Linked DNA regions of Styela clava. Each later gene encodes a partner of the first gene's protein in a complex. Links are inferred from orthologs where the notes say so. Each region holds a gene or a part of one and is shown on either strand. Other genes may lie near its edges.

Region 1 (12,301 bases):
GAATAACAAACACGTTTTATCAATAACTCACTACAGAAAATAGTCATATGTTAGAATTTCGTTGAAAAAATATGACTTCAATGAAAAAAAAATTGGGGAATTCACCTCGACCATTAGCGGAAAGATAAAAACAAGATGGCGGCGATTCGAAATTCCAGTCTGAACCGATTCGAATAATTTACTATTCGATTCGAATGGAAATGCCCAGCCCGGGTAAAATTTATGTCCATATCCCACCACAGCCACTAGTCGTAAATGAATTTGATTCCGGGTAGCATATCTTTTTTACCAATGACAATAAAAAGACATTTTGATACAGTTGTACAAGCACCATTAGGATAGGATTTATCTGGGGGGGGGGGGGGGGGAGCCAGTTATTTGTTTTCAGAAGCATGGACTTGGATGGTGGGGAATGGTCGTAACCGATCAGCGGCCATGTGAACCACCCTCGGTGGGAGTGGAGCTGCAATCCTCTGGCACATAGCTATCCCCGCATGGGATTGAAACCTGTGAAACTACCAGGGTGATCAGAGATGCGGTGGCGAGCGTATTCCTAGATGGCGAATTAAATTGAATTCTGGTTATTTTTTGCATGACCAGTGGTGTTAAACTTTAGTTATCTATTCAACCTTTCACACCTAGTAATAGATTACCTGCTAATCAGGAAACAATACCTTCTGTCAGACCTTACAGCAGTACAGCAATTGATTATTAATTCCTTACTGTCTTACACAAGTCAAGTCTGCAACTGCAAGTAGGCCCACGCCTAGGCCTACTGATAACAGTAGTTTGTCATCTGCTTTCCATTGAAATGAGGGAGCTTGTGAATATTTAAAGAAATTGATAACGGCACACTATCACCACATTATCACTCACCATCAACGAAGTGCTGTCCGCAAACAGTGAAACACAAGTAAGATGGCTTCTGGACTTGACACCAAGCAGTTCTGCCAATAGGCAATAGATGATATCCACATTGCGCGACGTTCAGGATTTTTTGAAATCAGTGGAATATTACTGAAGATCCATTTCGTCCATGTCTATACTATACGTACAGCCAACAGAACAACGAAATAACCATTTTCAACAACCAAACAAAACGCAAACGTATAATCCGACTTGCAACTGACAGGAGCCAAATGGACGTTTTTGTTTTATTGCCGTCCAGTAACAATGTCACGTGACCCGTGCAAGTCCTCTATATTAGTTGGTTTATATACCAAATTCAGTAAAACATTTTTTACATAAAACATGAGATATTGGATTTATTAGCTTTTCCATTCTAAATCATATAGACATTATTTATTTATTCCTAACGAAAATTAATAAATCTTCTCTCTTTCTTCAGATGTGAAAGTTGTGGACAAACCTGGGTAAGCATTGTGAGACTCCTGCAGCACAAGAGGCAATAGCAAAAATAGTTAGAGTACTCCATAAATGTTTGCAATAGAAGAACAACCAATGGAGGCATGCAAAGACATTTGATGTCAAACTCGCGGCCCCATAGACCTTCCAGTGCGGCCCTCGAACGATTAACAATAATTGTAATAGTATTTTGGAAGTTTTTTTTTATCTAAATGTAATAGATTTTTCAAACCTTTTAAAGTGAAATTGATTATTCACACAGAAAACAAATTACTGAAATTAGTTTTGAAAAATTATTTTTTTTGTTCACATTTTGACCCAATTAGGAATACACATCAGGCTAGCAAAAGAATACTTGAATAAAACACTTGAGTGATTAAATTAAACGCAAAGTACAAGAAGAAGGTGGCATTTTCGAAAAAATTGGGAGTTGCAATATTTCTGAATTTCGCAAAATTCTGGAGATATTGTTTATTTTGTCATATTTCCATCAGTACAATGAAAAAACACAATAAGCTCAGCAGTCAATATGACAAATTCGAAGAGCAACTTCGAACAGAAAATTTCCATGTGTTGGTATATTAATATAATTATACAACGACTTAGTTACTAAAAATCAATATCAATAATAATTCAAGCAACCCTATGTGGCGCGAAATGTCTTGTCGAAAAAATCTGTCATTTGTTTTTTTACTGATCTATACATGAAATGATAAAAGTAACTTTTTTGCATTACTGGAATTAATTAAACATCCGCAAAGATCCAGATTAACCCATGATCATGTGACCTCGTTTGTTAGAGTTGATACTATAAAATCATTTCAGCCTGGCGCTAGTATGCTGGTGACAAAAAAAGATGCCAAACGTCAGGACAAATGTAATTAAAAAAAAGATTGAGTTTATACTGTAGTATTTTTGTTAATTTTAGGTCCATATATTTACATTTAGTCATTTTTAGTGTATGTATTATTCTTTCCAAAGCTTGTTCAAAAATGATTTTGATGGTTGTACATAGAATTTTATGATTTTTTGTAATAAATACAGTAACTTGCAATAATAGTGGAATGCAAATATTAATATGTAATTGCATTTGAAATTGAAGAAAATAATAAAACTTAATCCAACTGTTTAGTTGCATCACAATTTATGTCGTAAACTAAAACTATCTTAAAAATATCTTTCAAGTATACATTATCAAAAACTGTTTGCGGCCCTTTCTACAATTTCCAAAATGCAATACGGCTCTCGAAAACCCATGAGTTTGACACCACTGATCCATCTAGAGTAGATTCTAGACGATTCAAGCATTGCTTTGGGAAATAAAGCAATGAAGGCAAAATTGAGAGTTCATGAGCTATGAATTTTTGTTCTTTTCTTTGTCTTGAACCTTCTCATACTCCACAGCCCCTAATAATTTTTTTTAATTTTAATTACCATGTGATGGTCATACATATCTTTAACTTGTATTTTCTGTCATGATGTATTATCTCAATGTGTCAAACTTTTAATTAGTGTGCATATTTTGCTGCCAGATGCAAAAAATGTATTGTCTTGTTTATTACCTCAGCTTGGAGTATTGACAAGAAAAGGGTGCCAGTGAATTACGTAAAAAAAATTTTAACTCTTTGTTATAATCAGAATTCACAATTAATAGGAGTTATAAACAGCTAACAATCAATGAGAATTAGATGCGAAATCCCTCAGAATAAATTTGTCTTCTAAAATCGGAGGAAAGAAAAACATATGGGTAGTTTCCATTCACACAAGTCTTTCATGAAGACTTGCTGGAGCCAAACTAAATGAGCATCGTCAGCTGATCGGTAAGGCTGCAAGTTAAGTTTCAGTCTTGCAACCTCCTGCACAGAAGATAATATTAATTAGTGGGCTATGAGCTAAATTTCTAAATTTAGACACAAACCTATCTACGAGGCATTATATACCAGCAATGTTACCTACGATTAACTGAATATGTAATATGTCTAATAAATTCACCTACTAAAGCAAGTTCGATAGGTGCAAACTTTGTTTTATGGAATTGTATCACAGCACCGTTAGGAGAAGTAAAAACAGTTTTGCTGTTTTGTATGACACCCTCTTTAAATGAAATTTCAATGTTTAAGCGCAAACATTAAAATTACTAACTTTGTCATTATCTGCAAAATGTTCCACTCAAATCTTTACGCTATCGCGTTTGTAATCTTCTCTGATAATAAAAACGTCTATGATGTCCAGAATTACTCTCTACAGCTTGTCTGCCATTCCAGCTTACCAAGTGAGCAAAACTTCTTAGATATAGTGATTATATTTTTCGTTACAGGCGCAAAAAGGCAGGTACTACACCCAAAGAAGACGCCGAGTAGCAAAAGCGAGCGAAAAACGGTCGCGAAAGGCGACGAGAAATACGTGCATTGGAGCGTATCATGAAATATAATCTTTCGCCTGCAGTCTTATGGAGTGACGTCAGAGTTGCCTATCATGTTGTTACTTATCGATCTTAAGATCGGTAAGTATATTGATAGGTATTTGTCTGTATGTCTGTCTGTGTGTCTGTGTGTGTGTCTGTTAGATGCACGCGATATCTCACGAAAGCGAGATTGAATCTGCTCCAGATTTTGCATGTGCATTCAACTTATCTCGGACCAGAAGCCTATTGATTTTGGGCGAATTATGTCGTATAATTAGCGAGTTATCAATCAATTATTGATATAGTGATCTAGATTTTTGTAAAGCGAGAGAATTTTGAAACCCGCCGAGTGTGTGTGTGCGATGCGCAGTGCGCAAGTTACAAGAGCGGATGAATCGAAACTGCAGTTTCTGTTTTGGGGGATCCCCTAACTATCGATCGATAAGTCTTCGGTTTCCAAAACCGATATTCTCGTTTAATGTCATTGGTGGGACTGAGATGTGAAATAGTTTTGAGGATAGAATATTTTTTACATCTTTTTTTAAATTTTTATCATGATAAACATGATAATCGTTCATTAAAATTTTAATGGCATTTTCGTTAACCGTCGGCCTAGCTTTTTGACTGTTAAGTTCATTATCAAGTTTGCAGCAATTGTTTTGGTTTTTGGTTTCAACTCTTCTTCCCCATCTCTGCCTGGTTTTACTTGAAAATTCTGAAAAAATTACTCATGTTTGCTAAACTCGATTCAGCAGATAAATAAACTACAGCTCGCAAAGTTGCACCGAGTACTTCTATCTCCATTGGACGTAACATTAGAGGCAAACACTACGTAATGGAAAGTAAACGACATAGAAAGGTAAAATGAATTTGTTGATTCATACACACAGCATTCAAATTAAGAAACAGTAAAACACTTATAATAAATGATGTATGTAAAATATTCAATCATATTTTAGGTATGTTTAACACAATTCTGTTAGTTTTCGCGGCGCAAATCGCCACGACGAACTCATTAGGAACCGCTACATTACACCGTTTTTTTTTTATTTATCAATTTTACTTTTTTATTTTTTGGGGTTCCACTATTTTTTCCCATTCAGTAAAAAATAACATACGAAATTAACAAAATACAAAACTGGACACACAATTTTACTGGGGAAGGGAAGTCGCTGGGAACCAGGAATGGCGATCGAGCAGCGACACCCGAAGTTCAATATCTAACTTAGTTTGTAAGGATCACGTTTTTAGAACACTTTTTATATGAATGAGCATGGCTCTGGCAGCTGAACTACATATAACATCCAAAAGACATGAACGTTATATGAGACGACCATATTTTGTACATGGCAAAATCTCTAATCGAACCCACCAGATAACTTAAAAGTGTAAGTGTCTGTGGACGAAAAAGTTTGGGAAACGCTGCTCTAAAAAATGAGAGTATACTATTCTGCAAAATCGGGTTATTTGATCTATGCGAAGTCATGAAAACAAGCTAAAATGTTTACCATCGTGTCTTCAGTTGTTACGCCAAAATATAGGTTTCACTCCAAAATATGTGTTCAATGTTCATCATTGCGATATTGCGTACTAGTTTCCAAGTCCTGCAAAAATGGTGAATGTGTCATCAATTTAATTTTATTGTTTCAGATTAACATCTTGCCGAATACCCAATGCTAAGGAAGTAAACAAGTGAGTCGATGCTCTGGGAAGCAGCTGCGGTCCTAATTCAATACTAGCATGCTAGTCAGTTTATTTCATGGATGCGGAGGTGTGGCTAATCGTTAGGAATACGCTCGTCACCGCACCTCTGATTTCTCTGCTTGGATTCGTGGGTCCGAATCCCATGCGGGGATAGGTATGTGCGAGAAGATTGCTTGACTCCACGCCGCCGTAGGGTGGTTTACAATTTATATAACCGCTGGTCGGTTACGGCTTACTCTACCAATAAGTAACTAACTAATCCCATACCCGACATGAGGTTTCAACGTTCAACTTACAAAAGAGTCAGTTTCAAAGATTGAAAAGTGGCAATGCCCTTCATTTTCGTTTATGTACAACTGCATATATTTAAAATGTGTAGATTCATCTATATGTATATATTCTCATTGATATGCTCAATCCTCTAAATGAAAATTTATTGTGTTTATGTTTACAAAATCAAAAAGTGATTATTGATTTGATTTGACCGAAAGAGTAGGCTACATAATATATAACAGTGTTTCAGATTCTGATTCAATATTCATATCTGAAAACATGGTTTGAAAGATGTCGTGGCTGGCAGAGGCGTAGCCAGAATATTTTGCGCCCGGGGCAAACTATAAAAGTGGCGCCCCGACCTCCACGTTTAATCATATTTTCTATTACATTTATTTTGTATATGTAAAAACAATTTAAAGAAGAAGCAAAGCTATACAAAATATAGCATATTTATGTCCATAATGTCCCACTCAGTCAAAGATGATTTACATGATCTACAATAAATTTATTTTTCTCGATTTCACTGTCGCAGACTTGTTAATCACGTTATCAAAATCTTTTTTTTTTTCAATGTTTCTCTTTCAACACCTAAGTGAAAAATCACTGAGACGACCTTGTCCCATTGATGCACGCGAATACGACAAAATAAGTTTCAATTTGCTGAAAGACCGTTCATAGCTTGCAATTGAAACTGGTAATGTTGACAAAATTTGTAGAGAAATTCGCAGATTTGGGACGTCGTCTCCAAAAGCCACAATAAAACCAAAGGAGAGTCAAAAGAGTTTCTGGTTGAATTTCAGTTCTGTCACTGAGCAGCTTTCTGCTATTTCCAATTTCGGTAAAAAGTTCTCGGCCATTGATGTCCGTGTCGTAGAAATTTGCAAAATCTGTGCAATCTCGACGAATTGTATCCTCATCTGTGTCAGATAGAAGAGTTTTAACGTCAAGCAGAAATCCAAATTTTGTATTTAGGTCTTTTAGTCGTGAAAAATTTGTTGACATCTCCCGTTGAAGCCGATCAAATACATTCTTCATAACGCGCACAATTTATTCTTCTGGTTGAAGTCCTGCATCTCTTTTCAGTTCTCCAGGCATTCTCTAATTACGTTGCCTAATTCGTCTACCCACCCGAACCCCCAGGCTGTGAATTTTGTTTTGACATTTTCTACAGCAGCTTGACCGTAAATATATACTACTACATACGGCTTGACTCAGATCATCACGAAGCTTACCTTTATTATTTGTCGAAAACGGCATTGGTCTCTTTTAGCACAATATAATATATTTTATGTAAGTCTGCTTTGACAACCACGAAATACAAAACCACGTATTACTCAAAACATGTATTACCAGCACTTCGCCGTTGCCTTTTGTCTCCATCACAGAACTAATACCCACATACATCGGAGTGCACAGAAAAGAACTAAACGATACAGAACCACGTTAATCAATTAACCCCGTGCATTTTGTTACCTAACATTTGCTTTGTTTCCCGGCCAGTTTTTTTGGCCATGTAATTATGATGGAAATCTGACTGTGCACGAGCCATGTGCCTGATGACGTCGGCATTCGACGTAAGTGGTCTGACCAAGCAATGAGCATATGTATATATGCTCATTGGACCAAGTGTGCAGTTGGCCATGTACTAAGACTAGATGTATGCCGCCGGTGCAATCTTGCTTGTGACCGTTTTTTTTTATCCTTGTTGTGAAATTTTTGCAAGTCCCATTTTGGCGCCCGGGGGCGTATGTACCCCATTGCCCCCCTAAGCTACGCCTCTGGTGGCGGGTGGTGCATTGTGCTATGAGTTGGGAATATACTTATCATCGCACCACATGATAACTCTGCGTGGATTCGCAGTTTTGAATTCCATAGTATAGGGGATAAGGGATGTGTGAGAGGATTGCTGGACTCCTCTAGCTGAATAAAAAATACCACACCCGGCATGGACTGATAACCGTTCGAGATCGACATATAATTAAGCGTGAATATAACATCATATCAGATTTTCCATCCAATGGACCTTTCCCTGAACTTTGACCCCGAAAAATTCTTCCTATACTTTACCATTGCAAAATTTTTGGGGCTATTTTAAGAGTGCTTTGGCAAGTTGGCGCCTGTTAAATGGGGTGTGTGTTTCAAATCATAATTATGATTCATCGCATACAACAATCTAATTTTTAATCTAAGTACCGGTAAAGGATTTTAGCCTAGTCTATCACAGCTATTTCTACACTATTTTTTATTACTGCAATTAAATTAAAACTCCTAGGAAGACAGAGTGATCATTGAGTTATCTGATTTAGATTTAAGTTTCCGAAACACAACTGAAAACTAACAAATAGAGTTCAAAAATGCAAAATCGAGGTAATGTTTACGACCACGTTTGAAAATCTGTCTGAGTGAGAAAAGTGTCTGAGCGGATGCGAAAAGGGAGCATTGTTACGTCACTTTTTGCATCTTGCTGATTGGCCAATGTTACGAAGTAAACAAGGAAGTCGATGCTTGGGGAAAGGTCCATAAATATGTAAAACCTAACTCTTATTTACCTCCGCTAGGGGGCGCAACATCAATAAGAGGTATTTTTGTGCTCGTCTGTTGTCCTCTCATATTCGAAAATAGGAAAACTCGATGTGTGAAATATTCGCTGCCTTGTTGCAAGAAAGGTACGGTCCAACCATTTTCTGGTAAGGTTAGGTGAGAAAACCAGTGCCCACACTGGTGTTTGTCAGGGTTAGGCATATAAGTAGGCCTATATTTTGATTATCCCGCATAGCTGGAGGACAGTCTGGCAGTACAGCAGTAAGACTAAGAGTAGGTAGGTGTACCGGTACAGGTATGAGGTATTGAGGTACGGTACCGGTACCGGTACAGGAGTAAGATGAAGTATCATTTTATTCCGGGGGAGAGAATAGACTGATAGACGGTTCATTGATAGGCCTATGGTGTGCCACAGAAGCCTCTTCTCCCACTCATGCATTATAGGCTAGACCAAGGCATTATAACAGTGAGTGCAATCTGCAAACCCCTCATTACGCGACAATCTGGCAATCTATATAGGCAAACCGGCACTACACAATAAACTAAAAGGAGGCGCGTTCTGAAAGCATCACACATGATTTTTCTGAAAAAAATAATCGGATTTACTCAAAAAAGAAATTGAACCTAGCATTTACGAGTAAGCAAAAAAACACAACTTTGCTAATGCGTAATGTGATGGCCTACGAATGTCGCGATCGATTTAGTCTAAATATTTATCAAGACAAGCATAGTGCCATCTGATGCATCTGTTGTCGTGCCAGATGCCCTCTTCGATAGACAAATGGAGTGTTTGTTTTATTGAACCGAATGTTGGGGCATCCTAAAACCTTGGCATTCTGCCCTACTGGCAGACTGGTATGGAATTAGTTGACCAGTTATCTGTTTTATATGCATGGCGGTTTGACTGTGGAAGAACAGAAGAGAAACCATAACTGACCAACTCTGAAAGTAGAAGTTGTAAACACTTTGAATTACTGTGATTGACTTGATTCTGTGATTGTACTATATTATACTATATTATTAACATAGACTTTTATTACAGGTCATAGACATAGATAAACAAGGAATTGTACTGTATTCCTGTATAGTCTATTATAGTTACAATATGTCTGATGAAGAAATAACTCTTTACTGCATCTGCAGAAGTCCTGATATTGACAGATTCATGATCATGTGTGATCAGTGCGAAGAATGGTATCATGGAGACTGTATTAATATGACGGAGCGTGAGTCAAGACGAATCAAGTACTTTTACTGCAAATGGTGTCGTCGTAAAAACCCTTCATTACAGATTCAATATAGAAAGTCGAAGAAATCTAAGAATCGAAGTGAAGATGGTAAAAAAGCAAAGAAATTGAAAAAGAAAGAAGCAAAAAGAAAAAGGCGTGAAGATGGTCAAAAAGAACAAGTCAAAAGTGAAAAAATAAAAAAGGTTATCGAGAATGATGATGATCAAAAATCTGACATTACAAAATCAAATTCACTGTCTACATCTTTACCTGTTAATGTCAAGAAAGAGTCTCCACAGGAAAATGTATCAATCAGTAATAAAGAACAAGCTGCTTTGTTGTCGGCAGATGAATGTGGCGAATGTGAAAATTGTTTACGTATTGTTAATTGTAAAAGATGTCAAAACTGCCTGAATCCAACCAGAGATATGAAGTGTCTAAAACGACAATGTCTTACTATGAAAACTAATTTGTCAACTTCTCATTTTGAAGTGAAAAAAGAACCACTTCCTAAAAAGAGTATCAAGACCGAATACGAAGAGGAGCCATCAAGATGGAAAAATTTTGATATATCTCATAGTATGTTTTCTCAGAAAAAGTTTAGCAAACCGGATACTAAGTTAGAAATTCATGGCCGACAATGTTATGGACCTGGATGCACTTTGGCTGCAAGATCAAAATCCAAGTACTGCTCAGATGAATGTGGTAAAAGGTTAGCTGCTAAGAGATTGCTACACATTATGCCATCTCGAGTGAATGACTGGCATCATACTCCAACAGTTGCAAATGAAATGGGTCGAGAAGAGTTGGAGAGAATTAGGGCTGCAATGGTTCAAGCAAGGAGCGAACTTCAGGCACTGGAGGAAAAATTTAGGAGATTAGAATCAATTATTACGCAATCCAAAACTTTTGAAATTTGTGAAAAATTGTCTGATGCAGAAGAAACTGATGAAAGTGATCAGACTATATTTTGTGTTGTTTGTGGCCACCCTGTTTCTCTTCGAGGTGCTATAAAACATATGGACAAATGTTATATTAAAATTGAATCTCAAATCTCTTTTGGGTCTGTGTATCCGACGCGTATTGAAGGCTCAGAGCGACTATTTTGTGATGTCTATAATCGACAGCAACAAACTTATTGTAAAAGATTACAGGTAATTTGTCCAGAACATGCAAAAGAACCAAAAATCACAGCCAATGAAGTATGTGGATGCCCATTGAAAGAGGATATATATACGGGTGATGAACCTAAACTGGCTAATGAGTTCTGCAGCAGAGCTAAGAGAAAATGTAACAAACATTTTAAATGGGAATCTATGTACAGAGCATCGGTTGATTTACAGCGAATTAGACAATGGCTAAAAATTGATGAAATATTTGAGGAAGAACGCAGAATTCGCAATTCTATGGTATCAAGAGCTGGTGTTGTACCTTTGTTATTGCACCAAACAACTGCCCATGATCCTGCATGTCTCGATATGCGAACAAAACCATCAAATGTTAAAAGACCTGCATATAGACTTGTCATTTAAGATTGTAATTCATTTGATAAATTCATAATTGAAGGCCCTGCTTTCAAGTTTAGGAAACAAATAGAAAAGCAATTGAAATATTTGAAAGTTTGATTATTTGAAAATGTTTGTTTGCGATCCACACCATGGAATGTTCATAGTCTCATATGAACATGTTATATCAACAGACATGTGTGTGACACATTTGGATGATGGGATGTTTCATTTTTAAATTGCGCAATAATTTACTTGAATAAACTTTAGTTAGTTTTGTATGCTTGGCTTGTTACAGTATTTTGATGAGTATGGCCTGTACATGCTATACAAAAGTTTTTTTTTCACAGAATAGTGTGTTTCATAATTGTGCCAATCAGATTGGATATTCATGTATAGTTGGCTATGCTAGATATTGATTGACTTGTGTTTTTGTCTTTGTAATATCCAACTTTTGTTGAAATTTGTTATTCTGTTTTCTTAGCTTGTCTTCTAACTTTCCCATTTTGTTTTTTAGTTACGGACAAAATGTCTGTTCCAAGTAGATCAGAATGTAATCACTGTCAAACGGAATTACCTCTTGTGCATATTCGCTGTTCAGAATGCTCAAACACATCAATATGCTTGTCATGTTTTTCGAAAGGAGTTGAATTCCGCAATCATTTGAAAACTCATTCATACAAGATTATTGATAAAGGATCATTTCAAGTTGTCGATCCTAATTGGACAGCCTTTGAAGAAAAACTACTTTTGGATGGAATTGAACAATTTGGCATTGGAAACTGGGAGGATGTAGCGGTTCACATTGGTGAAAGAACTTCAAAAGAAGTGGAGGAGCATTATTACGCTTCTTATATTGAAAGTGTCGATCTTGGGCGAGTGACTGTGCCAAATGATATCCCTAATAGGATGACAGATCATACACCACCATTGCATGAATCAATTCTGTCTATCCAGTTGCCTCGTTTGGATTTGGATAAAGAAGAAGAGCTAGAATTGGCTTATATGCCATTAAGAGATGATTATGAAATGGAACATGATAACGAGGCTGAAATACTAATCAGTGGCTTGGCAATAAATGGTGATGAGGATGAACTAGACCTTGATTTGAAAGTTGCGCAAGTAGGAATGTATCTTGACAAATTAAAAGAACGGCACAGAAGAAAAAGTGTAGCAAGGGAATACCATCTGGTGGAAAAATTTATCGGTAAACCATTACCTGGAGCCAAACAAGATCGAGATTATTTGAAACGTCTACGTTTATGCTTTCAATATAT
Region 2 (12,645 bases), on another chromosome or scaffold:
CCCCACTTTTATGCTTTATGCATAATAACACAAAATTGCTCATACATTAATTATTATCTGCACACATTTTATGTCATAACAATGGAGTAAGTAGCAGGAGAGAAAGGGCATGTCAGTTGCATGTCGTATACTTGCCAAATGTGCCTGGCGTTGGTATAATTATCTGTTTAGTTAATTTTGATTTTCAAAATTTGACATGAAAATGTTTGGGTAACATAGAAAAGTCTGCCATATATTGTGCAGTTCTGATTGGCAACTTTATAATGAATATGTCTAGAAATCCACCTATACTCGTATACTCATCTGCATGACAATGCAAAATGTGTAATGTGAATGTTTGGAAGAACATATTGCAGTGAACAGCTTTTTTCCAAAATGAATTATACTGAGAATGAATTTCGTGTCCAAGTCGGTTTGGATAATTTTTTCCAACAAATCAAATCGCTTATTGCAGATTTGCCACTGATAATTGCCTTTTTTATTATACATGGTGTCTCAAAAGTAAGTATACACTTTTAATATTGATTTTCTTTTCAGGTACCCATCATAGAGCTTTCATTTATTCATGAAACAAAGTATGAATAAGAAGTAAAATTTAGGTATTGTTTGCATTTTTGATTGACCCACAGAATGACAAGGAGATTACCCAAGAAATAAGGTGCAAAATTGCTGTTTGGCAGGAAGCATATAAATCAGTATGGCAAACTCAGTGACTCTTTTTAACAGAGAATTCGGAATTAATTCGGCTCTGAATGTTTTCCTCAGAGTGCCCGCTCCTTGGTCTTCCTGATCTTTCTGCATCAACTACAGATCCAGTTTCTATGAATTTAAAATGAATTACATAAATTATTTGTTGTGTAGGAGCCGAATTAATTCCAAATTGCCAAGCAGCAATTTTGCACCTCATTTTTTGGGTTAATCTCCTTGTCATTCTGTGGGTGTTGAAAAATGCAAACAATACCCAAATTTTACTACTCATTCGTACTATGTTTTCTGAATAAATGATCGCTCTATCATGAGTATTTAAAAAGAAAATCAAAATTAATATAGTGTATACTTACTTTTGAGACACCCTGTATATACTGTGGAGGATGAGCTACATTGAGTAGTCTTTGTATGATAATTATATTGGCTTTGTTTTATAATATATCCTTATTTAACACCATTTACTACCATTCCAACCTAGCACCATTCTAACCTAGTCATATATTTTAGTTGCAACAACGATCACTTATGCCTTTCATGGCTCGAACAATCGCCATGAATCTTGCTCTTGATTATGTCAAAGAAGAATGGGCCAAGAGACCGACTGATAAAACCGGCCATCTCAATGTTGTGACTTTATGCTGTGCTCTCAAAGCAATCATCGGATGGCATGCTGTGGAAATGGCTGCTGTAGCAAGAGAGAGATGTGGTGGTCAGGTAAATCCTAGTAAAATAGACTGGAGAATGAATCTAATATGACGTTTAAGAGAATTTCAGCGGGATCAATAACGTCCACCAAAGTATTTTATCTGGCCCACTTGTACGTGCTGAAATTATGACACGGTTTTTAGGGATATAAATTTTCGTTAAAAATACCGATTGAAATAACGAATCGTCGGCTAAAATAAATACCATAATTCCTTATCATTATTCGCACCTGAATATATTGTGCATAAGGAGCGATCTCAAATTCACCCATCTCTGAATTATTATTTCGAAGTATGAAGATTAATAAAAGCAAAAACAGATCTCCTCTAGTGTTTTCAAACCTATGAGCGGTGTAACGAATCAGCACAAGCAGCTTCAAGCCTGATTTAAAAAAGCTGCTTGGACGCATGCAGCTGGATACAGAGGTCCTGTTAATCATTGTGCAACTTGGTGGTACAATAGATGTTTGTTGTACATAACTGTTACGCTAGTTTTTGTAAACCGTAAACTGTTTTTAATCATAGTTTAATATTGACCCTCCACCCCAGTAAGAAGGTCTGTTATCTGGAACCTACCCTGGAAAGTGATTCACCCCTGGGTTAAAGCATTAAAGCTCTGCTATGTTTTCATGGCAACTTAAAATTCTCTGATTCAAATCCCTTGTCCACCATGTAATAGATAATGATTGAATATAATACATTTACTTCTATTACAAATATTTTCCTTTCTCAGGGCTACCTCAGTGTTAACAGATTCGGTACATTTATTGGATCGAGTCATGCTTCCATAACTGCGGAAGGAGACAACAGCGTTCTCATGCAGGTTAATTTTTCTTGTTATATTTATGTGTAACCTAAACATAACAGATGTTGATTAATAGAGTAGAGACTTTGAAATGTCTGGCATATGAAGCATAGCCATAAGATGGTAAAATTGATGCGGGTTTTCGATTAATTGCGACTCAAATTTGCCTTTACCATTTAGAAAGTTGCCAAAGAGAGATTAAACCTTTTCAATCCTGAAAAACTTGAACCAGTTGAAGCAGGTAACAATATTTATAAAGATTATATATTTAAACAAGAAGTGCTGCTATCATTTTATTATGCTTTATTTAAAATAGGTTATCAATATTCCAAATTTATAAGCTGTCAAATTGCCTTTTGTAATTGCTTGAATTAATTTGTATATTTTAAAAAATTCATACTATTCCTTTGTTTCTATTTCAGATTTGAAGAGCCCGGCTTATCTTCATTATTTACTCCAACTAAGGGAGACTTCTCAGTTCTCTGAACTTGGAGTGAAATTAATGAAAGGAGGAATGGACAAAATCTTCGATACATGGATGTTACAAGAGAGCGATCTTGTGCAGGTACTAAGTTTGTTTACTGTATTTTTTAGACTGTAAAAGATAATTGAATGACTATTTTCCTATCCTCACCGTCGTAGGGTGGTTCATGTAGCCGCTGGTCGGTTGCGCCTTCCTCCAACATCAAGCTCATGCATCTGGAAACAAAATATCTGGCTAACTAATCCCATACGAGTGGTAACCGGACAAGAGGCGGTGGTTCGCCATATGATTAAGTTGCGCTCTGCTTTTGAATATTTTACTCAAATGATTACTTATTGAATCTGTTTTTCATCCAGAATGCTGCAAGATCTTATGGAGAAAGGTTGATTAGCGAAAGGGTGAAGTTTACAATTGATTCTCCAGATACTCATTCATCACTCAAAACCATCTTATCAAAATTATATCACTTATTTTTGATTGATACTATTCAACGTGATCTTGGATGGTTTGCGGCAAATGAGGTCATCACGCCTTCAATAGCAAAGCAGGTAAAGTATCTTATATCGTACTTTCAACCATCTTTTAAAAGTGGGCTATTTCAGATAAACAACTCTGACTACATTCGGACCTGCAAAATCTTTAAGGTTCGAGTAACAAATTAAAAAGATGACTTTTTTTTACTTATCATAACTATGCATGGAAACAATTGAATTGCGTAATTATACCATACCTGACATGGTGACAGCAGGCTTGGCGGTGTGGCGTGTCGTGCTAAACATTAGGAATATGCTTCACATTGCACCTCTGATCATCCTGCGGTGGTTTCTGGACTCCTCACCGCCATAGGGTGGTTCATATAACCTGTGATCGGTTACGGCTTCCTCCACCATCAAGTTCATGTATCTCAAACAAATAAATGGCTAACTAATCCCATACCAGACATGGTCTGGTAATAGGGAGTCCGTGCTTCAGCATATGATTAAGCAATTTTATCAGTTTTCATATCCTCTGAGATAATATGTATTTCCTATCCTATCACTCATGTGTTTGACATACTTAAAACATTAGGGATTGCAGAATTAAATGGTTATAATATACGGTAAAATTAACTTTCTATACTCAGGTAAATGAAGTTGCAGCTGAAGCATGTCGAGATCTTGCACCTGATGCTCTTCATCTCTGTTCATCATTCAAATTAAGTGATGAAATGCTTTCTGCCCCAATCGCACAAGACTGGGTGGAATACAATGTGGGTGACAATCAGGGGGAATTGTCGAAGCTGTAATAAAGTTTCCCAAATTTATTGTATGGAGACCAACACATTTAATTTATATATCAAGTTGGATATCGATAACTGTATTATCTCATAGACCCAAGAGTTTCATATCAAGACCAGGATTAACCTCAGCTGATATACTGTAATTACTGTTACATCGAATAATTTATTTTCATTTTGCATTCTCAAAAGATTAAAATGTGGCGTGTTAGTGGAGATAATCCATACCTATTTACTTTCAGTACCCAACCTTAGTTCCCGCCTCTATGGGTTATATATTTCCGATATTTTTCGAGTGTGAATATGGTATAGTTTTCTATTTGGAATTCAGTGAAAATGCAATAGATCTAGTCAAGAGTTTCACCGTTTAATATTTGTTTATATTGTTTGATTGATTTAAATATATTAATTTTGCCTAATAGTGTGAGATGCTCACAAGTTGATGTTGGTGCCTCAGCTAGTAAAAGGTTGTGAGATTGAAAGGAAATAAAGCTGCAGCTTCGCACAGCTTTTTCACTCGGAAATATTGGTCGTCGCAATTGTTTTAATGGTAAACGCCTGATTGTATCGCTAAAAGATGGGAATTGACAAGAATAGTATTTTCTTGTGATAATCTTCTGCTGGGACCATTCCTGTCAAAATATGAATTGCAGTAATTTGATGGATCTTGATTTTTTCAATAAGAATATTTAATATCATCTATGTTAGATCTAAATGAAGAAGGTATAGCGGGGGGCTGTAATTGCACAGAAAATCTTCGGCGAAATATCGGTGCACCTCTAAATAAACTGGATTGAGCACCGCCATAAATTTACAATGCATAATAATGTATGCGGATGGGAAAACCCTACATTCCTTCGCATTTGTGGTGTGGTTGTCATGGAATAAAACGAACAAGATTATGCATATGTCTTGTTGCGGCAAATCGTTCGAACAACAGGGCATCGTCTATAATGGCACCAGTACCGTATATGCGGCATCGATACGTTTGGCCAATGAGCATATGTATATGTATATATGCTCATAGGTTTGGCAAATCACCAATCATGTTGCACGCGTGTCAATCATCTGAAAAAGACACGTCATATTTTTATTTAAATTTCTGGATATACAAGTAAATTTTGCTATAGAACACTAATATCAGAACTCTGGCTTCACGATGAACAAATGATGTATTTCCCCCGCACTCATTGAAATATCACGAGTGCGTATAGTTATTCATGAACGCACGCAAAGTAAAAAAATAACTCATAAATTGGTAAATCCTGTTACGGATTAATGAAACAGTTGAATTTAGTCAAATATCAATCTTTGAATTATTTTAGAATGCAAACACTGTGTGTAGGCGTACAAACAGCATCACGCCACTTATCATGAATTCAAAATGCATAATATGCTAATAAGTATCACGTGCGTGTCGCGTCTCGCAGGCGTTTGCGTCGGCATGGCTGGCATGCATTATGGTTTTGCTTCCTGGTGAAGATATTTTAGGATAATGTATTTTAATGTAGAGTACAGTAGTGTTTGGTAAACTTTTATGTTCAATACTCCGTGAGCGAGTTAGTTATAGTGTGTCATGTTTTGAACTCGAATTATTCATAAGGCTGTGAGGGTCGCAAAGGAACCAAAAATACCCCAGCCCACACTCGAGACGCTATCCCACACTCGTTTTTGACAGGCCATACTAGGGGTAACTGGGCCGGGCTTGGTATTGCATTTGCGTTGTGTATATCACATATGGTCTCTATATTGTCATAGCCACCAAGTTTTTTTGTATTAACGTTTATAAAGTGGTAAAATAGTTGGTTAACCCCTTGACGTCAGGCTGAGCGAGTGTGGGCTGGGGTAACTTTGGTGCAAAGGATGTTCAATTACAGCGGTAGCGAATGTAGGAATGAGAAATCTTGTGGCAGTTTCAACATAATATTCATATATTACATAAGTTTTCTGGTGAACCGATATAAAGTATATTTTCATGCCATCGTTGCTGTAGCCTGTAGCCCACACTTCCATTTTTGGTTGAGTCAGGCTGGATCAGTCAGGTGAGTTGAGTCACTCTGACACTGTACCTCATGCAGTCATGACATGCTGAAATGACGTTGATTGTGTGCATTGACTTTGGTGGTAAATACTAGATGAGTGAACACCGACCACTTTTAGGCAACAGATTGTTTATTTGAATTATGTAGCCTACCTTTTAAACCTCGCTCAAGGTTTTGTTTGCTCTACTGATTTTGTAATCAGTTTTTTTTTTTGCATGTTTTTATTAATTTAAGGTCTGTGATGCTGGTTATGGCAGTATGGAGTCTCAATAAAATTATACTTACAATGTTATTAGCCTCTCAACTACCGTACATAAATTAGTAATGCCGGAAATCCCACCATAAATATATATGTATGATTAACATTTGACTCTCTAACAGTAGGGCGCAGTTCTCTGATGTCCCAACATTTGGTTCAAATACACAAACTCACATATCAATGATCACCAATCAAATTTAGCACAATCTTGAAGTAAAAGAAAAAAATCAGTCTTCATAGAATATTTTAAGATTGACATGAATTGTATTGAACAACTCAATAGCTCAATGCTATCATTAAATAGTTTTAACAAATGCTCTTATAAACTATAATATTCTTAGATATGTTAAAAATGTGTTTTTTTTGCTCCTCCTCAAAACCTCAATTTGGATGATTTATTTAAAAAAAACTCATAGGGTCTCCCTAAAACCAGGCAATTTATAGGCAACGTTTCAAGTAATTTGATTATCTATTAATTTTACTATTTCATATCGATTTGAGTTCCATTTCATTTGCATTTTCATATTGCTGTATTGCAAGGAACAATAATATAAGTCGATCATTTTATCCAATACATTTAGAAATATTTTACTCTCAGTGGTAAAATACGGCATCCTTAGTATAAACTGATAAAATCTTGAAATTTCAGACATTTAAAAAAAAATATTCTGATTTTTTAGTCATAGAGAGTTGCCATATTTTTTCATAAATAATTTTTCCTAACACAAAGAGATATAGGCCTACAGTTTGTAAATTTATTGTTCATCTTCAGTTGTTTTTTTGCTTATTTAATATAATTGGGTGGCAACTGACTCTGATGACCCCCAAAGGTCAGATTGTTGCCCTCCAGTCATATACCGAAAACTATTTTTTTGGTATTTGTTTATGTGTGCATAAATTGTTTTCTTGGTTTGACAAAATGAAATAAACTCTCTCTCTCTTTTGAATCCACCCGAAATTGGCATATTGTCTGGTAAAATGTGGCAACTCTCAGCACAAAATCAACTTTGTATAGCAGAATATTTGTCTATATTATTTTGCATATTCTCTGCTTCTGAAAATTAGTAGGATAGTGATCAAAGTGCAATGTTGGTTATATGGTCAATTCTAATTACTTAGAGATTTATATCCTAAACTTATTGGTATTAGACTCCACTCTAGCTGTTCATTGCCAGTTTAATCATAAAATCACTAATCAAATATCAGTGATTAATATTTTCTCTGTTGCATTTTAAACAATTATGATAAAATTTGACCCTCATTCCCTTGTTACCCTGAGTTGTAATTACCCCTTAGCAATGCAGTAAATAAAATGTAAACACACCTTGTGACATGCAGTAAACTAGAGTGTGAACGAACACATAACATTTGTCATTCTCCCAGGGACTCAGGGTAACGAACGAAATAATGTTTTCTAAAATATGACCGTGAAATTTACCTCCTTTTATATAACTAGTATAGGCATTATAAAGAAGTTCATGCCATCTTAATTCATATGGTGTGATCTTGTAAAATTAGACTTGTAATTAGACACTTAAACTTGTAAATTTTCATTGTTTACATCAGCCATGCCATCTGGTTAGTTATTCTGTATTCCTATACCCCATTTAGTTCATGTTATGATGGAACTATTGTATCATTTTATTTTTAGTTGATAACTTTCAGTTGGAATATAAAAATATTATAATGAAGCTACTGGATTCTGTAGTAAAAAGTTTTCGAGTTGCCAAAGTTTTTCGTGAAAATAATGAAAAAATAAACAGCGTCGATTTTGCACCAAATGGTGAAAATTTGATATCAGCTAGCGATGACGATTCGATTGTAATTTATGATTGCTGTACAGAAGGAAAACCAAAGAGAACATTGTACAGTAAAAAATATGGTGTCGATCACATAAACTACACTCACGCTGGAAACACTGTAATTTATGCTTCAAACAAAGTTGATGACGCAATTCGATATCAATCATTACATGATAATAAGTATCTTCGTTATTTCACTGGACACACAAAAAGAGTAGTGACCTTAAGTATGTCCCCTGTGGATGACACATTCTTATCTGGATCATTGGACAAGACAATACGTTTATGGGACTTGAGATCTCCAAATTGCCAGGGTTTAATGCATCTCCCTGGCCGACCATGCGCTTCTTTCGATCCAGAGGGTTTGATTTTTGCAGCTGGAATAAATTCTGAAATGATTAAATTATATGATTTGAGATCATTTGATAAAGGTCCATTTACAACGTTTCGACTGACTCCTGATAAAGACTGTGACTGGACAAGATTAAAATTCAGCTCCGATGGAAAAATGATCCTAATTTCAACCAATGGTTCAACATTACGATTGATTGATGCTTTTCATGGCGAGCCACTCCAAACTTTTATGGGTCATATTAACACTAAAGGTTTATATTTAGAGGCCAGTTTCAGCCCAGATGCACAGTATATTCTATCTGGATCACAAGATGGTCGAATCCATGTTTGGAGTACTGAAGACGGAAGCAAGACGGCTGTTTTAGATGGAAAACATCCAGGCCCACTTCAGTGCGTACAATTTAATCCGAGATATATGATGATTGCGTCAACATGCTCTAACATGGCATTTTGGTTGCCTACTGTAGAAGAATAAAGATGATTCATTGACATAAAGGCATTGATAAGCCTTTTGTACTCCATACTGCCAAATGCGGATGAAAGCCGTAACGCCATGAGCACTTAGTTTGTTATTGTTGATAAAAACATTTTGAGTAAAGACAAAAAAACTTTTAGCTCCACGTTGGGTTCAGTACTTTAATTATTGGGTTTGACACTTTTATTGCTGTCGACTGTCACTGTTCATTTTTACTGAAAGCTGTCATGATTATTTAGATTTCATTTTTAGGTCAGCTTCCTATAAGCTTAGTGAAATCGAGACACTTTCACCTCAATGACTAAAGAACTCTGTTCCCACAGTTTTCCGTCTATGACTTGTTTTACAGTAAATTACGGCTGGAGTAGCTGAGTGAGTGACTGCTTTTATATGAGAGAGTCCTCAAAATATTAGTCTAGGCTGGAATGTCTCAGTTTATTGTTCAATTTGCTAGTATAATAACAGTTGAAAGATAGTTCATACTTTTTTGCTAAAATGTGAATCATATCACTTTACACTAACAAGTTTTGGCCTTAGTGAAACTAGGGAAAAAATGTCTCTCCCCCACTTCCAAGTATGATATTAGCCCAACCACCCCCCACTAGTCAAGTACGTAACAGGCTGAAATTCAAGGATAGCTAAAGTTATATAAATTATTCTGAAACAATATTTTGGATATAAATTTCGAATGTGTCTAAATTGTGTCTTGTTCATCGACGACTTCACTCAAATTTGTTAATACAGGATAGTTGGAATAAACATTACTGGGATTTATTCTTAATAAAAGTTAACTGAAGTCTATTTTTGTCTGACTATTGGATGTCAAATGTTTTAAATGATAGATGAAAATAATCCCCAAATCAATACTTAACTAATTTAAATGTATCCAATTTTAAATGTTTTTGATTCATCTTGGAAATCCCTGGACCTGATAAACTTATCCTAACTAGAGGATGCCCATGTTTATCCTTCTTTTAATATGGTTTGTGCAAGAAATGCTACAAGAACTACATGCTCTCTTTTGGATTATGCTAAAAATGTTTCATGATTTATTGGTGAACTGCTACAACTGAATATGCATGCTTTTATTCTGGAATTAAAATTGACTGGATTTTGAGCTCTTGGAAGTGTTTTACCTGTAATTCAGATTTGAACTTGCATTTTTTGTTGTGGACAGGCTTTATGCTTATGACCTTGGTGTTGATTGGAAAATCTTTTTTGCATATGAAGTCTTTCGTGCAAGTGATTTTTGTAGGGTGTAAAATTGTAAGTTGTGTTGCTGCAATTTCTTTTTACAATAAATTTTTTGCAGAATAATGACATAATATAAAGTATTTGATTAAAAGTGTGAGGGCCGAGGAGTGGCAAAATGAATTTAAGCAAGTTGGATTTATTCTACCGAAGGCTCATCTTAACAAAATTCTATACCAGAGGATGGGGTAAACCAGAAGAACTGCAGGAAATATTGAAGGTCCATGGTGTGATTTCCAACAGGGATTCATGTTTGGATTATGTTAATGATCACATATCTGAATCTAATGTGACCTTGGAAAATCCAGTCTCAAGCAATGGGTGCGTGACTGTCGATGGTAGTTTCGTTTCTCCAGTCTGTAAACTTTTACCCAAACTGCTACCAGAAGAGTGTAAGACGTCACACTTCCAAATGGTGTTACCTGCAACTCCAAGGAAATCCAAACCAGATAGTATTACTTCTTTGAAAAGAAGAATAAAACAACTTGACTTAAATCCGCTGTGCATTCATATGGCTGGAACGGGCGACCATGGGTTTTCTAGAAGACGAGAACTCATCGCTAAGCCGTTATTGTCGCATGGAATTTCTTCTTTATTGTTGGAAAATCCGTACTATGGTTTACGAAAACCAAAAGATCAATCTCGTTCCGGTTTGCTACATGTCAAAGACCTATTTTTAATGGGTCTATGCCTTATTTTAGAAACTCAAGTTCTGCTAAAATGGCTTGAAAAAGAAGGTTTTGGGCCGTTCGGTCTTACTGGTATATCAATGGGTGGACATATGGCTTCATTAGCAGCCACAACTTCACCTAAACCAGTCGCTGTTGTACCTTGCATGTCTTGGACTTCTTCTTCTGTAGTTTGGACAGAAGGGGTTCTTAGTAACGCCATACCATGGAGGGTGTTGGAATCTCAATATGCAAAAGATCCAAATTATGAGACCCAAATCAATGACCTGATTAAATATAACACTGTGGATTCCTATGAACTAGGTAAAGACTATGTGAAAGATAAAGGTGCTCTGAAACCGACATATGTAATGAAAAATGTTGCTGGGGATCAGGTATCGGAGAAGGATGACAGAGAGAGAAGGCGGAAACAGACCCTTAGATTTATGAAAGGTGTTATGGATCAAGTGACAGATCTCCAAAATTTTTCAGTTCCAATTGACCCATCAATGGCAACATTCGTAATCGCGAAAGCTGATGCGTATTATCCGATACATAGTTTACGACCAATGAATGAGGTCTGGCCTGGTTGTGAGGTAACATTCAATAATTTTTTTATGATTAAATTCCCAACTGAATCAAATATTTGAATGGATCAAAAATGGTCATATTGGATACTCCTCAATTTGGATTATTTCTGCTTGTAATGTTATGTACTGATTAAAATGTGATAGGCAGATTCAAAATAGCTTCATCAAACTCTTGTTTCTGGAATTTCATGTGTTTTTAGAATTAATTTTTTGAACATATGTACCCTTTTTCTCAGTCATTCTGTCCTGTCAGTGTGTCGAAGCTGTAGCTTCTTAACAGCTTGACTGATCTGTATCAAATTTCCAACGCGAGTAATGCTGTCACCCTAGTAATGTGCGTTTCACCGAAAGCCGAGATTGATATTTTGTTTCCATGGCAGCAGTGAAAAATGTGCCGATGGTTAAAAATATTCCGATTATTTTCATAAATTTTCGCCTTTTTCCTCAACCAATTTGAATATTAAAATTTCGCGAATGCTACCCTCTGCGGAAATAAATACTTTTTCGAACAATCCAAAGAACAAGTCTTTCATCTCTGTAGTCCATAAACTGATAAAGCTTTAGGAGTTTCACTGAACATGCTTTAATTATTAGCCACAGCATAACTTTCGCTGATTGAAACTGATGAGACGCACAGTGCTCACAATGACCTGGCAGTTTTGGTACAATGGCGTCTTCCTATTACCAGTTGGTAAACCTGAAATGACTTGGCTTCATAGCTCAAGCAATGGCGGAGATCCATACTGGGCGCCTACCAGCTTGTTTATATTATGACCCAATTGATAATTCAGAGTATACTTTAATATTCTGAATATCAAATTGTTTGAATTTTGCCATTAATGATTAAAAAGGAATCATTTCATTCTTTTTTTTTTCAAATTATTTTAGCAATATGAATTCAAAATCTATTTTGTGAAGTTGCAAGTCATTGAAGCTGTCTGACTGTTAATATTTCTTATTGCAGGTGAGGCTACTCAACACAGGACATATAGGTGGATTTTTGATGCATCAAACCGATTTCTGTAATGCTATTGTTGACACTTTCTCAAAACTTATAGAGAAGTATCACTCATCGAAAGAGAGCAACAGTTGCGGTAATGAAACCATGAATTTGAATGAGTCGGAAGAAAGTGAAACTACTTCCAGCCCTATCGCTATTCGTGAATTGGATAACAATTCAAGCATCTCAAAAAGTAAAACTACTCTTTTAATAGGTTTATTTCAAAC

The links.
Region 2: CXXC-type zinc finger protein 1-like (region 1) and WD repeat-containing protein 82-like share a complex: the UniProt entries of both Drosophila melanogaster proteins name them as parts of the SET1 complex. The link is inferred for Styela clava from reciprocal best matches to the Drosophila melanogaster genes Cfp1 and Wdr82.

The regions. Positions count from the first base shown.
Region 1 is NC_135256.1:21,997,061-22,009,361, reverse strand, and holds CXXC-type zinc finger protein 1-like, read left to right. Parts: upstream 1-9,323; 5' UTR 9,324-9,395; coding exon 9,396-11,051; 3' UTR 11,052-11,541; downstream 11,542-12,301. Other genes in the region: transcriptional adapter 2-beta-like, read left to right, coding at 11,553-12,301. UniProt on the Drosophila melanogaster protein: Component of the SET1 complex that specifically di- and trimethylates 'Lys-4' of histone H3. Essential for Set1 association with chromatin and trimethylation of histone H3 at 'Lys-4' at transcription puffs.
Region 2 is NC_135254.1:14,480,613-14,493,257, reverse strand, and holds WD repeat-containing protein 82-like, read left to right. Parts: upstream 1-7,905; 5' UTR 7,906-7,964; coding exon 7,965-8,909; 3' UTR 8,910-10,226; downstream 10,227-12,645. Other genes in the region: uncharacterized protein LOC120344988, read left to right, coding at 1,216-1,422, 2,146-2,235, 2,398-2,458, 2,640-2,782, 3,058-3,249, 3,825-3,986; protein ABHD18-like, read left to right, coding at 10,279-11,424, 12,383-12,645. UniProt on the Drosophila melanogaster protein: Component of the SET1 complex that specifically di- and trimethylates 'Lys-4' of histone H3.